Drosophila melanogaster: one gene and its partner. The protein of the gene in region 1 interacts with the protein of each later gene in a pairwise test. Each region holds a gene or a part of one and is shown on either strand. Other genes may lie near its edges.

Region 1 (4,659 bases):
CAAATGATTTAATTTCCCTTCCATAATATTAATCGGTATACTTATTATAATTTATCTTAATTTATCTTGCAGTACTCACCCGTCATAGGCATATCCTCGTATTAGATTGATTCCTCTGGAATCGTGTGAAATGTGGATTGGATGATTGTTGCGCTTGGTCGCTGGGAAAATTAGATGACCAATGCTAACTCGAGACCCGCGGCAGAAACACACACGCCTGAAGACTGAGCAACTCTGTGTATTGTGTAAATTAATTATTTTAAAATTTTAAGGCACGGCAAGGACGGCGGGTCACCTTGGAGCGCATCCTTAAAGGATGCTGTACAAAATACTATGTCGCAGAGTTCTATCACAAATAAACAAAAGAAAAACAAAACAGAAATAGTTACGAGAAACGTAAAAGGAAACGAGAAATCTAATTGCTAATTATAAATTACATAGTTCCAAACTGTATATAGCTGTAAGTGTGCATTATTTTTAAATGACGCAACTTAATATTACTATACGTAAACATGACAAAGAGATCATTGTGCTTATGGTCTACTATTAGAGCAAGTTGAGAAATTATATTTCTGTTGTCAAGGAGCAGAGTCGTTTTATTATATTAAAATTATTACTGCATACGTATTAGCCTTTTGTTAACTGTATTTGTTAAGTGTACATACATATGTATATGTTTCCCCACTAAAAAGAAAATATGATGAATAATAAACTCAGAACATACTTATGTGTAGCGTACTCCTGTGATATAATTACATGACTTTGTGGATGGGATTTTAATTTGATTGATTTCAAAGTGTGAGTGGTAAGTTGCCAGCTATTTTTCCAGTTTTTATTTCCAACATTGTCCAATTTACAATTTTTTGCTGAATTTGTAGCATTTCGTTTCATCTTCAGATGCACAGCTGTTAAAAATGCACATATATTTCTGTTCCTTGAAGAAATCTCAATTGGAAATGTACCGAAGGGGAATAATTCATCAAAGCTTGATGATTTTACACTTTGATGATATCCAGACTTGCTAAAAGCCCATCGTGTTTCTCAAGCATCTTTGTTATTCAAATGGAAACCATGTTATGAATTGAAATGCAGAGGTACAGGTGCTGTCAATAGATCAATTTCCGCTACAGTAAATGGTTTAACATTTATTGACCAATTGTGATTTACGTGTGTCTATGCTACAAAGCCCATTACTAGTTTCAATCGAAGCCTTGACTGATTGACCCGGGCCAACAAACAATTTAGACCTGTAATTTTAGAAATTGCTACCTCACTAATTGGATGCCGAAACGACAAATAGTGGAACACACCTCCAAAATAGATTGATACACGTTCTAAGAGAGCGGCCGAAGAGAGAACCACCTGTTAGCTCTGATTCAATGTCAGCTTATTTGCGCACTGGTAGCTTTGTCTTCTCTTTGTGTTGGAGATCGAGGCTTTTGATTTTCAACGCTTTGGGGCTCCCCCCGATGATGACGTCGACACTCTCTTTTCTCTTCGCAGGTGTGATATGGTACGCGTGGCGATCGTCGGTTCGTTGCCGAACGAAAGACGAGCACTGCCGAAGTTTCTAAGACGGTTCCATTGGTCCGCTCACTTCGGAAGCGATATTCCGGCAGTTTGTACTCGCAGTGCGTGTCGCTAGGTCGTCGCTGGTCGCTTATCGCTCATACGCCCCATGCTTTGGATATAACTTCACCGTTAAACCGAGAAATTTCGGAATGCGAAAAAAGTTTCGGAAAGCAAAAGTTCAAAGCAAATAAAAAAAAGTTCAAGCCGGGGCTTTAAGGCCAGCTCATCGCATTTGTCGAGCGGAAATAAGTGTTAATTAAAAAAAAATGTATGAATCTATTTTGGCCGAACGTTACGTCAATATGTCATGTGAAAAAACAGCATAAATTTTAGTCCAACATGTGTTTTGCCATTCAATAAAGTAAATACAAGATTTGAACAACCAGAACCCATTCCGAGCTGGAATAATGGTGTCAATGGGTAGTGGCTGCGCATGACTTACCAGGCTTACCTGGCTTATCAACCGTTATACCGCTGATAGCAGATATATCCAAATAAAAAATTATTTTAATGTTTTAAAATGAGTGAGAGGGACAGCATAAGGGGCTAACCCTCGCTTTGACCAAAGGCGTCGCCCTTAGCTTGCAGTTTTATGTGTGTATTTCGTGTTTTCTGTGCTCTTATGCTGTTTTTTCGCAACATCGTATGTTTCTTTTTCCCTTCATCGCCTTTTCCGCATGTTTATCGTACCTATGCCTTACACTCTCATCCCGATACAGTCGATTCATTCTCTCACTTTTGTGAACGTTTTTTTGGCAAACGTTGCGTGTATTCGCCTAAACTTATTATTTAATGGACGTGTATAAATAAGTTGGCAAATCGAACCAGAGTGAAAAGCGTGTGTGACCCACTGAGCCTAAAGTGCAATTTCTACCGTATATATATTCTAGCAGCTGCAAAAGATGGCCACAACCTGCATGCCGCATTTCACGGAATATTTTCAAACCACCACCCAGTCAGAGTTAACAACAAATGAAAGTGCCAACAGCAGAAGCAGCAGCAGCAGCAGTGGCTGTAGAGAACCGTCCAAAACCAGTGGCTTCTTCTACAGCGCCAGCACACATTACCAGAGCAAAGTGCAGCAGCTAATCAGCTTCAGCTTCACCTCATCGTTCCACCTGCTCTTCATCACCTGCATACTGAGCATCAGCAAATTCTGCAATGCGGCGGCGGTAAATGCCGCCCATGTGACCGCTGCCACGCCCACTGCCAGCGAGATAATGCACAATCTGAGCGGATCGGCGCTGCTAGAGCGTCTGAAAGCCAGTACTCTGGGACCCACCCTCGATCAGCTGAAGCATCTGGCTCCTGCGGCAGCCAACAGCATTAGTCCTGGTACAGGATCTGGCATGGGAATCGGGATGGGACACTTTGGCAGTTCCATTAATTCGGTGCTAAACGGAAATCCTTTAAAGTTCTTGAATGTGTCAGGAAAAATCGGCACTCCTTTGGACATATGTAAGTTTTTACAAGCCCATAAAAATGGTTTATTCCTAGAAGTTCTAAATGCTAGAGGTATTTGTAGTTATAAATCTTTTAGTCACTCTTTTTATCAACTTGTATTTATTTTTATGATTCATGAAAGGCTTAAACATTCATACATATTGCCGGCGAATTATTAGAATTAGTCAACTATTAACATCACGTCACAAATTAAGCTTTCCATCATATCAAAACTAATCATTTTTGTAAGAGTTGCCGTATTTTAAATATCTATTAAAAAGCTATGAATATAAAATTCAAAACTAAAGTGCAGAATAATCAAAATTTAAACTGAAAAATAATTTAAATCACAATATACTTTGCAGCCTTAATTGAGAGTTGTAAACACTTAAGGCTCGTAATCATGGTTCGACTTTGTCGGATCTTCTTCGATTTCTCCGAGTGTAAGGGGATGCGGTGTTTATAGTTGGTGGCTCCAACTCCAACTCTCTCATTTCTGGCGATCATGCCACCAGCCATGTGTACATACGTATGCATACCCCGATTTCCAGTCCGACTCCGATTTTAGCTAAGGCTCCGACTCCGACTGACTCGGCTCAAGTTTTATTTATGTGAATTTTGTTGCCAGCCGAAAGCCAAAGCGTCTGGCAATGCCAGTAAACTGCACTTCCATTTCCATGTCCCAACATTCCACATCGTCATACGATTTCCAGACTGCAGAGCTCTTTCCCTTTTCTCCCCATGCTCCGTGCTCTTTTTTGTCGGCAGAAACCTTTTACTTTCCTCTACAACTCGCCTCTGCTTACACTGTAATAAAAGTTCCACTAAAACTCATGCTTAAAGTGACTAAAGTACCGGGATAAAATCGAGTGTGGCATACTTTTTGGCGTGCTATATATGACATTAAAAAAAAGGGTTCTTTAAAGTTCAGAATTTATGCATTTTCTTTCGGTGTACACTCTTTGCTTGTTCTGCTTCCCCTTATAATTATTCCATTTTATGCTTATTTTTTGTACCGGCCGGCATCGCTACATGAAGCGAATGGAGCGCCACTTGAAGACTTAAACTCCGGCGGCTCTTGTGAAATGTACAGAGAGAATACCGAGAAAGAGAGAAGAGGAGAGAAACCGTGGTAGACGGGGGAGCAGAGAACAAAAAGAGCAACAAGTGGCCGATTCTTGGAGTTTCTTGGCCTTGCACATTGGTCAACGTTTTTTTGTAAATCGATCCGAGCACGTGGCAGATATATGTACATTCTACTCCAACATAAACTGGAAGTAGCTCGACTTATTTATAAACATTTGTTGTTACCAAGCTGATCTCGATATCTATTTTGATTATCCCCCACCCAGAAGTAATTCAAGCACTTTAAAAAATATGGCTTAGCTTTAAAAAAACATAAACAGAAGATTGACTAACGAAGTAATTTTAGCTTCAAACGCGGCTGTTTGTAAATGACATTGAATAAGCAGGCAGTTTACATAAAGGCCTACGTAAAACATTCAAAGAACATTCAAAACATTCAAACATTCAAATTGGTAAGAAAATTGCTGAATAATCAATTATTTGCGCAAATTAAAAGTACAGTGTAGAACCAAAAATACAATAGACCCTGATTAAATATCAGGGCATAGTATCGACCAT
Region 2 (4,633 bases), on another chromosome or scaffold:
TTCGCCTTGCCATTGACCTCGCTTGGGAAGTCGAGCTTGAGATTGCTCCAAACGTGCCACAATTGAACTTGAGTTGCTGCATTCGTCGTACAACTGGCTCGTGCAACTTGCAACTGCCGCCTGGCAGCGGCACAAAAGTTGCATTTTCCATTTGATTAATTGACGCGATTGTTACTGGCAGGTTTCCTTTCGGTTTTTGTCTAGCTACAACAATTAAATTGAAGTGGAAAAGCAGACTGTGTGAAGGTAAGTGTGTGCGAGCAAGTGCATGTTACTTTAATTGAAATCATTGTTGTTGCGGCGTCTGTTGCTCTGACCAAAATTAAAACAAATGCGGCTCAGTTGCGCAGACAAAGCCAAAAGCCGCAGTCGAACTCAAAGTCATCGTTTTGCTTTCTTTTCAAGTTTAATGAACGTTGAGTCCGGGCGATGAATGGTGGGTGGTTGGGGATCGGTTGGGGAATGGGTGGTGGCAAGGCCTTATGATTAGCGCCAGTTGCGGCATCGAAGGTTGCTGATCTGTGGATTGCATGCCACATTGCAGCTGCAGCACTAATGGAAAATGGTAAGAAATTGAAATGGAAAAGGGGAAAACGCCAATGCAAATGCGGCGAAGGCCGCCAAGACATTTTGTAACACCAAATTATTTTGATTGGCTGTGAATAAAAATTTATTCCGCTTTTGAGGTCTGCCTTTTGATCGACCACATCGAATGTGAGGCAACAAATTGATGTGTGAATCAAGACGAGCGGGAGATTTGTGCCCTTAAAGACCATAAGCTCCATCGATGACTAACCTGTCCACAATCTCGTCTAGCTCTTTGGCCATAGCCCCCGCATCGATTCGAATATCAATCAACAACGCCCACATCGAGAGCGACAAAAATGGCAGTTTGATCTGTTGATGCGATCATAATCGGTGTGATTGAATGGTCCAATTACGCTTAGCGGCTGACATAATTAGCGTGTAATTATAATTGTAATGGACATGAATACGTGGATAGCCGCGAAGACCCTGCAAATTGGATGGGGCGGCTTTGACAAAACGCCTCGTGCGACTTACATCACCTATCACAATATCGTTCCATCATCCCATCATGCCACCATGGCCACTTGGGTGTGACTAAGAAGCTATGGACTGCAGGTAACCCGAGATGCCGCATATAATTTCGCACACATGCCTGTGCTCCGTGCCAGCTTTGGGTTTCTTTTCCACCTCAATGCGGATGAAATGCCATGCGAATGGAATATAAACATACAAAATAAAATGACAAACGCGAGAAGCAGTCACAAAAACGAAAGTTGCTCTGCGCGGGCAATTGTTTGCAATCGAGACATTTAAATAAATTGATAAGCACTCGGAAGCATTTGCATCGGGCGAACAAGTTCGTTGCCTAAGTCTTTCGTTTCGATGTGGTATCTCTGCTGTTGTTTTTGTCGTTTCCCTTATCGCTGGCATTGCTTAACGAAACGCTAACAATGACAATTAAATAAATACCAATAATAACAGTAAACTGCTGCAGCAGCAACACAAGTATAATGAACTTGAATTGGCATAATTGCCACCGCTAATCACATTAAAGCCAGATACAAAGATTTGATAAATGCAAAGAAACAACAGCCAAGCAGCAAACAACAAGACAAAAAGCAACTGGTTATTCCGCCTGGCAGTGAAACAATCATAGGAATTAAAATAAGATGCAAATGATTGCGTCACTGCAGAGTAGCGATATGAGGGGAGAAATATAAACTTAAAATGTGACAATGGCACTAATGTGAATAACTAACAAGTCGAACAGGGCAATGATTCCCCTTTTTAGATTATGGAAATAAAGGCAGATAATTTCAATGTGATGAACTTAAATAATTGTTAAATTAATAAACATTATAAAATTCAAACTGTTTTCCCATTTCGCTTTACTTTTAGGCGAACTATTTAAAGTATACAAAAGTACTTGTCAAAAACGTTTAACTGTTCTTGAAAAGTGTGAGAATTGGTTGGGCAAATTTGAAAAAATCAAGGTACTTGCTTTGCTGTGCCAATTTCAAAGTCGCTAATTGAATGGAACAATGAATTGCTTTTAGAAATCGCCCATTTCGCTGGCAATAAATTAGAAGCACAAACACCGAAAATAATTTATGAGCAAGCCACAATAATTGGAAGCCACATACGAAACCCGTGTAGTTAAAAGGGATGGAGGGCGGGTGCAACCAGCGCCCATGACAGGTGGTGTCGCCTCAACCACCCACCCCGTCTATTTGCGTTTGTATTGGTTTATGTGTGTGTTTATGCCGTGACGCAGGCCCAGCTTCGACTTCAAACGTCAGCCTGCAATCTTTCACTTTTTTTTCGTGTCTGCAGCCGCGGCGTCGGTTGTTCCAGTTTTTCCGTAGATTATTTCCCCAGCATCGCTATTATTTTTGTTATTTTCGCCTAGATTATACACACGCGATACATGGAGTGCTTATTCTAGGCCCTTTTTGACACACTTCTTTGCCGTTTATGTGTATTTCTATTACTTTTACGCATATATGCTAAACAACTTTCTTCTTCTGGTTGCAAAGGGGCGCGCTTTGTGCAAAAGTATTTATCATAAATTTTACACACACGCAGGCGCACACCGACACACAAACACACACACACAGAGCGATAGCCCCAGCGAGATCCAAGCACACATATTGCATACACACACACAGGCATAGAAAAAGGGGAGAGCAGATTGTTCAGTTCGCAAGGTCCATGAATCCGGAATTCCAATTCTGCGCTTTATCACATTTTCGGCATTATTTGTTGTGCCTCCAAAAGTCTCTTCTCCGAACAGCAGGTTTCGAATATTGGGAATGTAACAAAATTTCATTACCAAACACAACCACTCATACACAATCAGCACAGCACGACGACACACACGGACGCGTTCACTCACACTAGCACAGGTTTCGAGCCGCTTTTCTTTTCGATCCGTTTCTTTTCCGTTCGGCTCGAGCGCGATCACGATCGATTTGAGACTAGTTGCTTTGCTATTCGCGGAATGGAATCCGCTCTGAGTCGAGCTTTGTTGGGGGTAAAGCTTTTACATAGCTCCAAAAAGCTCGCTTCGCAAAGGCAACTGCGCGTGCCCACCACTACTATCGATAGCCGTCCACGGATCAGCCTAGGAGTTCCAGTAATCGTTAAAAATATTTTACTCTGGTCCCCGTTGGAAAATCTATAATTTCATTTGTTTTTTTTTATAAAGCCCTCGGCTACACTTCCTTGCTATAACTATCATTTCAGCTTAGCATTTTTAATAGTTTTAATTTATATAAATATTTATATAGAAAGGTTTTACAATTTTTTGTTCGTAATCTGCTGCGATAGATCGATAGGTGTTCAACGTTTGAACTTGAACATCGTGGTATTTTCAGGCTCTTCACCTGCGGTCTCACTGGCTGCAACAATTATCGAAGAAACGATAGGTTGAAATTAATAACAAAAGAGTGCAAAAGGGAAAACGCAAAAAGTTATGGGGAACCAATTGGCTATACAGATGAATAGCGATGAAGACGACGATTTTGATTCTTCGGACAACGAGCTGGGCTTCAACGTGATCAACTTTACGGTGAACGCCATGGATCTGCGCTCCGATTATTGCAGCAGCGAGATGCCAGTTATACGAGGCAAGCCCGATCTAGTTAAATTTCAGGTAATGACGAAATACCCCGTCCCCAGATAACAATTAATAGTAATTTATTGCCCACGCAATCTTCCAGAAAACTGATATGTACAAGGAGATCCAGGCGTCGAGTGGATTAGTGAGCAATCCGAACAATCGCTGGAACCTGGTGCACGCCCTTCAGCAGCGTGAGAATGGGTTGGCATCGCCGCACAGCGCATCGTTCTCCAAGAACCAGCAGCGCTACATATCCAATCTTTACATACCAAACAAAAAGGCCACACGCCTGATGTCGCTGGAATCCAAAATATTTGTGACCAAGTTCAATCGTTCGGGCAGCAAGTTGCTGACCGCTTGTCAAGGTCAGCATTCATGATTAACGCTTCCGATTGGCATTAAAACACGATTTTGACCCCTTCCAGATGGCTTTGTGCGCATTTACGATGGCGCCAAGGGCACTTATCACCTGCTGAATCGCATCCGAGCCCGCGATGTTGAGTGGAGCATCATCGATGCGGATTTTAGTCCGAATGGCGAGCACTTCGCCTACAGCACCTGGTCCCGCTCATGTAGGTACTCCGCCCAATCTGTTTATCCACACTAAGTTGTTTTCCCCTTCAGTGTTCATCATGCCCGTGAATGGGGGGGAAGACGACTGCCAGTGGATCGATGTCAATGGACTGCCAAGCCATAGGTTGGCCATCTTCTCGCTGCGCTATTCGCCAACAGGCGACAAAATCATCGGGGGCAGCAACAATTCCACGGTCATCGTGACCGACATTCGCACAAGAAACACACAGATCCTGCGCACCCACCGCATGCCCGGCAAGGATGTTAACTCGGTGTGCTTCCTACACGATAAGGATCCAAATGTGATAATCGCCGGCTGTGACGACGGCCTGCTAAAGGTCTACGACCTGCGCACCACCTTCCGTTCACGGGACCTGTCCAAGTCTGTGGCATCCTTCATCGGCCACTACG

What was found.
Region 2: the proteins of LpR2 (region 1) and Hil interact in a two-hybrid assay, tested with the Drosophila melanogaster proteins (one large-scale study listed by BioGRID).

What each region holds. Positions count from the first base shown.
Region 1 is NT_033777.3:25,737,426-25,742,084, reverse strand, and holds the start of LpR2 (lipophorin receptor 2), read left to right. Parts: upstream 1-1,619; 5' UTR 1,620-1,840; intron 1,841-2,462; 5' UTR 2,463-2,474; coding exon 2,475-3,030; intron 3,031-3,395; exon of another isoform or gene 3,396-4,058; intron 4,059-4,659. Other genes in the region: LpR1 (lipophorin receptor 1), read left to right, coding at 73-105.
Region 2 is NT_033778.4:20,615,207-20,619,839, forward strand, and holds the start of Hil (hillarin), read right to left. Parts: upstream 3,012-4,633; 5' UTR 2,861-3,011; intron 1-2,860. Other genes in the region: CG9945 (uncharacterized protein), read left to right, coding at 3,503-3,682, 3,750-4,014, 4,075-4,221, 4,274-4,633. UniProt on the Drosophila melanogaster protein: May act as a modulator of septin function during cytokinesis in the developing nervous system.